2 linked regions of the Oryctolagus cuniculus genome follow. The protein of the gene in region 1 interacts with the protein of each later gene in a biochemical or structural test. Links are inferred from orthologs where the notes say so. Each region holds a gene or a part of one and is shown on either strand. Other genes may lie near its edges.

The links.
Region 2: the proteins of RNF8 (region 1) and ubiquitin-conjugating enzyme E2 variant 2 form a complex in vitro, tested with the Homo sapiens proteins (2 studies listed by BioGRID). The link is inferred for Oryctolagus cuniculus from reciprocal best matches to the Homo sapiens genes RNF8 and UBE2V2.

What each region holds. Positions count from the first base shown.
Region 1 is NC_091436.1:132,279,655-132,283,305, forward strand, and holds part of RNF8 (E3 ubiquitin-protein ligase RNF8), read right to left. Parts: intron 586-3,651; coding exon 457-585; intron 1-456. UniProt on the Homo sapiens protein: E3 ubiquitin-protein ligase that plays a key role in DNA damage signaling via 2 distinct roles: by mediating the 'Lys-63'-linked ubiquitination of histones H2A and H2AX and promoting the recruitment of DNA repair proteins at double-strand breaks (DSBs) sites, and by catalyzing 'Lys-48'-linked ubiquitination to remove target proteins from DNA damage sites.
Region 2 is NC_091441.1:59,364,242-59,367,439, forward strand, and holds ubiquitin-conjugating enzyme E2 variant 2, read right to left. Parts: upstream 1,850-3,198; 5' UTR 1,810-1,849; coding exon 1,372-1,809; 3' UTR 613-1,371; downstream 1-612. UniProt on the Homo sapiens protein: Has no ubiquitin ligase activity on its own. The UBE2V2/UBE2N heterodimer catalyzes the synthesis of non-canonical poly-ubiquitin chains that are linked through 'Lys-63'. This type of poly-ubiquitination does not lead to protein degradation by the proteasome.

The sequences.
Region 1 (3,651 bases):
AAAAAAAAGTGAAAAACAGGTCAAGTAGGGGGATGGGAGTTTGCTCTGATTTAAAGCAGTGGGGAAAGAAAGGAGCTTAATGCAATCAGCTCACTTTCTTTCTCCTCCCTCTGGTGAACTCCAAAAGCTGTAGAAGATTCTAGGGTTTCTGGATCTTGCATCAAAAGGGTCAATTCCCACAGCAATTTAATCTAGTTTCTGGAATAGGACCTACGGCCTCCAACGCAAATGTTCACTTTAAGGGCACCAACTTCAATCTAAGTCATGGGAAATTATTTTAGCATCATCTAATCTCTAGCAAAACAGAGCAGTAGTTGCCTCTGGGAAAGAGAATGGGGTGGGAGGGCAGCAGGTAAACCGTTTGCATTTTGCTTCATAAATTATCTATGCAAAAAAAATTAATAATAAATTAAAAATTTTAAAAATCTTTAGTCCTCTTTCTGTGATTTCCTGTACCTTGTTGTCCATAATTGTCCACTGGCCCTCAGGATTCTGCTTCAAAACACAGTGCTTTCTGGAAATCATCAAAGGGCAGACTTTTGACACCAGTTGGTATGTGACACTAAATCCTCGTCCCAGAGACACCTAGGAAGGTAACAACAATGAAGAGACACAATCAATCATTATGCGAAATAGGGAGGCCCTCTACAAGCTTATCAACTAGTGTGGTACACAGATCCTGACCTACGAAACCCGGATTCCTGCAAAACCTACATAGATCCTCGGCGATTTCCTCTTCAGCTGCCACAAAGCCAGCACACAGAAAAAGGAAAGAAGTTACAAAAAGAAGAAGCTGAAAGGGATTAACCATGGAATGTAAAGGTTAGGAGGTCCTGGAAAGGTCATCTGGTTCAATCACCCATGACATTAAGGAATTATTTCCACACATCCCAATCAACAAATCTAAAACACAGCCAAGAACCACAGCGTTTAGATGAGACAGGCCCCCTGCTTTTCCAGTGGTCCTTTCTCCCTATACATTCCATCCATTGGCTGAGGCTCTGTCCTGGGCACTATCAGAAAATCCCCAACTCCCTTTCCAAGTCACAGCTATCTACCAAGTCTTCTCTCTTCCTGGCTCAGGAACCTAGTTACTTTAACCTTCCTCCAATGTACGGGTTTGAATCTCTGTCATTCTAATTGATCTGTGAAAGGACTCCTAGCTTATCTTTATTCCTGGATGTGGGGAGCAACCCGGACTAGACTGAGTTACTGGAATTAAGACTTATTCTATGCATCTGCTCTCCCACAATATGGCGCTGGGAGAGAAGAAAACAGCTTCTACACAGCTGCCTCCAGTTCAGCCAATAAACTGTAGGACTCGCTCCTGATTGGAGGAGAGCAGCGTACTCGGCGTGTGGGCAGCCGAGTTAGGATTGGCGGAGGAGGACTATAAAGGAGGAGAGAGACGGCATGCACCAGGAACATCTAAGGGGAACACCTGTGCAGCCCCCGAGAGAGCCGGCTGGCAGTGTGCCGCTCCCCTGCGGAAGTGGGGAATGTGGCCAGGGGGAACTGCCCTTCCACGGAGGTGGAAGGGACAGTAGCCAACCCGGGAAGAACCAGCAGCAAACCCGGGGAGGGCCGAGCAGACGAAAGAACAGCGCAGGGTCCTGTGTCGTTCCTCCACGAAGAGGGGGAGCGGCATAATGGTGCCATGACTCGGATATGAAGCCTAGGCAGGGTTTAGTGTCGTTCCTCCACGAAGAGGGGGAGCGACACCTGGATGCCATATTAAGAAAAATAAACTTAATTTCCATTACATAATCAAGGCCAAGCATCACTTTCCCAGTTCTTGATATTACCACTGCAGCATATAAATGGCATTAGCTTTCAAAGCAGATCCAGTGCCCTGGAAGGATATCCTCAAACTTAGAGATGTTTCCCCTCCCCCAAGAACTGCTATGCTAAATCATGTTTCTTCCAGCCTGTACTTGACTAGTTGGAAAAATCTGGATTCCAGTGCAGGACCTTACATTGATCCCTATTAAATTTCATCTTGTTAGTTCAGCCTATCACACCGGCTTGTCAAGACTTTTCTGATTTTTAATCCGCCATCAGATCAGACATACTCAATATTCCTTGCAGCTTTAAATCATTCACCAAATTGATATGCTTTCTGTACCTTCATCCAAGACACAAATATACTGAAATGGGATGTAGCCAAAGACAAAGCTCTCAAGAAAGCTTCTACTAACAGTCTGAGTGTAGCTTCAGTCATAATCCAATCCGAGTTTCTGCACTGAGTCCAAGTCCTCTGTCTCCCACAGGGACAAGGCTGAACAGAACGCTAATTCCCAACTGTCATGCTTTCCTGACTGACCTGTCTGGTTCACACAGCCCAGCGAAGGTGGGAAGTGAAACTCTTCTGTCATCTAGGCTTAGAATTCCATGCTTGCTGTTCTCAGTGCATAAACCACCTCCTTAATGATCCACATTGTAAACGTAGCTGGCAACATTAAATTAAAACCTGTGGTTTTTGAAAAACTACTCTTTATCGATTTTAAAATCTTCAGATTCACGCCTGTTTTCCTCTGTCCCTCAGACTGAGGACCGTGACTCTCTCTGACCTAATCTATTAGGTTTCCACAAACTCTCATCTCAGTAACCGACACTGCCATCTATACAAACTGCTCAGCCCCAAACCCACAAGCCCTCTTTGATCGATCTGTTCCTCAGCCCCAGATCTCAACTGGCAGCGATTCTATGGCAGTGACTCAAACACATCTCAGCCTACTCATTCCTATCCCCATGACCCCTACCCAAGTCCAAACCACTGGGCTTCTTGTTCCTGTTCTCATCCTCCTTAACTCTGTTCACACACACACCGGCTGGAGTGGTAATAAGAACTTTAAATCAGGTAACTTCCTTTCTTCCTTTAAAATCTTTCAATGATCCAAACTTCTTCCCAAAGCCGTAAAGCCGCCAATGTCCTGACCGCCTTCATGCCTTTCCCTTAGTGCCATGCACAGCCCAGACGCTAGTTGTTTCAGCCATCAGGCCTTCTCTTCATTCTGTCACCTCCCGCTCCAACATCCACTGACCTGGGAGCCTTCTCCCTTGTCCACTTGGCTTGGGGCACTCACTTCTCAGATCTTTATGCGGTGCTTTGTCACCTTTCAAGTTTCAGCGCCTCAGGTCTTGTTGCTATCTGCTCCCCTCCCCCATTGTATTTCTTCATGTTATTAGCATGCAGTTACCATGATCCAAAATTATCTTGTTTTACTTTTCCCTTCCCCTTTATTAGAATATGAACATCATAAGCAGGCACTTTATCTTTTTTTTTTTTTTAACAGCCAGAGTTAGACAGTGAGAGAGAGACAGAGAGAAAGGTCTTCCTTCCTTTAGTTTACCCCTCAAATGGCCACTACAGTCAGTGTGCTGCGCCGATCCGAAGCCAGGAACCAGGTGCTCCTGGTCTCCCATTCGGGTGCAGGGCCCAAGCACTTGGGCCATCCTCCACTGTCCTCCCGGGCCACAGCAGAGAGCTGGACTGGAAGAGGAGCAACCGGGACAGAATCTGGCGCTCCAACCAGGACTAGAACCCGGGGTGGCTGCAGGCGGAGGATTAGCCTAGTGAGCGGACAGAATAAAGACAACTTGCCTGGGGGTCTTGCTAAACTCCAGGATGCGAGTTTTTGTTTGTTTGTT
Region 2 (3,198 bases), on another chromosome or scaffold:
ATATTTTATGTGTCATGTTGTTTGGGGGAAGATACCACATGTTATGGTGGAAAGAAATTATTCTAGGAGTCAGAAAACCTGCTATCTTAATTCTGTCACCAGTGAAATGATATGATAAAAAACAACATAATCTTTGCCTCTAGATTTTCATCTATAAAGTATAAACATGTAGGAGTTTTCATTCTCTGTGTGTGAATGTGTATGGTGAGATGGGGAGAATTAACGTCCTCTAAGGCCCTCTAAGGTCCTTTCTGTTTCTAAAATGTACATATTTTATACACCAAAGTACTGTTCTGTTATAGAACACTTTTATTTTGAAGTCATTAAAAACCATCCTGGAGAAAAGTCACATAAACTCAAAACAACACAGCTGTGAGTATTCAGCACTCCTTGGTTACAAGTAGTTATACCACCATTTAATGGTGTCATTAAAAATGCATTGTCACCATAGTAACTGTAACATTATAAGACACCAGATCTTTCCCTGAAAGGCTTGTGCTGAACAGCTTCCATTGCCTTATGCAACGGTTGCTTCACCTTTTCTTAGCAGATGCACAGCTTTCCTTTCTTTTTCAATTTATTTGGTACCAAGAAAAACCATCAACAACCTGATTTTTTTTTTCCCGAGGACACTTTCCACATTTTATTTACATTTTATGACTAACTTTAATCTCAAAATCACATATCCATACACCTATTTTCTTTTTTTGTTGACTTCACTTGAACTTAAATGCATGGTTTGTTAAACAAAGAATGTAAACAAATATTTACCATGTCTGTTACATGTAACACACAGGAACAGCTTTTAACAGAAATTCATCGACCCCCCCCCAACATTTTTTTATTATAAATACAGGTATCAAAACAATCCTGAACATATGTTTATACTACTAGTAGTCAGCACCCACACCGCTTTAAAATTTAACACAATTTGTGACAATATTCATTGTACCTGCTACTTTAAACAATTTCAACTGCAGCTCTTTCACTAAGCAAGATGGATAAAAGCATGCCATTTCTGTTTGTCCTTCTTGGGATTTTTACTTTTCAGAAACACACGTTTCCACTGCCATCTCACACGTCTCGCCACGCTTGCGTCTTGTAAACCCGAATCCTACTTGGAGCACTCCAGGTTTATGTTTAAATGACAGTGCCTCAACAAGAGAAAGAAAAATTGTGCTGCATTTTTCCTCCCGTTACCTGAAAACATAATGGGTGTACATATATTAAATATATTACAAATGTCCGGGTCACATATACCAGCTGGAATTCTTTACTGAATGTGTGGGTATTCTGCATTGTGATATTTAATCAAGACATTAATATGAGTAGAAGGTTGTTGATTTAAGACAAGTTTGAGATCCATTAAAATTAATTGTTGTATGTTTGTCCTTCTGGTGGCTGTGGAAGCTTCATATTTTCTTTGGACATCATTAGACGTCTTAGCTCTTGAAGTACAACTTTAATGCTATATGAATTTTGCCATTTTGCTAATACTGGTATGCTCCGTGCATCCACCATTCCACTGGAATTATTTATCCCATTCATATTAATTTTTGTTACAAATCTAACTGATGGAGGAGCTTCTGGGTATTTAGGTCCACATTCTACTTTCAGGCTATATATTCTGTTCTCATAATTTGTCCTTGGTGGCCCAATAATCATGCCTGTCCACCTTGTAAGTGTCATATCTTCATCATCTTCAAGGCCCCAGCTAACCGTACCATCTCCTACTCCTTTTTGTCCTTCTTCAAGTTCTTCCAACAAGCGAAAATTACGAGGAACTTTAACTCCTGTGGAGACCGCCATCTTCTCCTGCAGCCCGACGCAGCCCAACAACCTGCTTTTAAAAAGTAAAAATTTCTAGTACTTGGAAGTATACATTACCAGTGGTTAACAGTGCCATTATCTTGCAAATTGGAAAATAAAATTATTCCCACTCAGGACAAAATTCTAGTGTAACTCTCCTCCCAAATCCTTTTCATGTTTTTGCCCCTTTCTTGACATTGTTTCTTCCCTGGTGATTCTTTGTCCTTTGGCTCTGATTTTTTTCCTCCCCTATTCATGACACTCTGTCACACATTCCACATCCTATTTACTCACAGGTAGTCACTAAGAACAAAAACATTTATTGGTATGGACTTCTCTTAAATTACATTTAGTTATTTATTTAAAAGGCAGAGAACAAAGATAGAGAGACAGTGGCAGAGAGAGATTTTCTATTCACTACTTCACTCCCCAAATGCCTGCAACAGTCAATGCTTGGCCAGGCTGAAACTGGGAGCCTGGAACTCAATCTGGTCTCTTGCATGGGTAGAGAGGAGGAGCATCCATCACCTGCTGCCTTCCCAGACACACATTAGCAAGAAGCCAAAAGCAGAAGCAGAGCCAGACACACAAACATGGGATGCAAGTTCCCAAGTGTTGTTGTAACCACTGAGTGCCCGCACCCTCTGTAATGGTCACTCCTGGATGCTATGTGGTTAAAAAAAAAACTGTAGCAAAGGCGAAATGAAGAAGGGAGACTAGTCAGAAAAAAATGCAGTAGGCTGTCAAGTATAGAAGTAGTTTGAATAGCCAGCAAGGGCATGGGTATTAGAAGATTCTTTTCAATTAAAAATGTAACATCTTTGACAAGGATGTTCGGAAGGTTTATTTGCTTTCTTATGCCATCATGGCTGCTGTGTCTTGTCCAGATTCTGATGAACAAGGGGAAAGAACACAATCATGTCTAATCTGTTCCAGGACTTCTGTGCCCAGCTCTGGTTTAGTAAAACATTCAAGTGAACCACAAATACAAAGCAGCTCAGAATTTGTAACAAATCATAGTAAAAGCATTAAAAACTACTTACACACACACACACACACACACACAATCAGTGCCAGGGCAGAAACCCAACATTCCTACCTCCACTGTGTAGTCTTGTTCACTAGCCTGTAATTCCAGTGACCCCAGGTATGTTCCATCCTTTCTCTCAATATTTATTTCAAGATAACTGCACAGCAGTCATCCTAAACAAATGCAACAAACAAGTGAGAGAAATAATTAGTACCTAATTAACCTTGAGATGTTATGAGAAAACTTAACATTGAGTTTTGCCCATATTGGGTGTTTTTTTTTTTTAAGCAAAACAGTCTATTTCTTGTTATTGTCTACTTTTTACATAGAATCATATAAGGACAGATTGTTAAAACTGT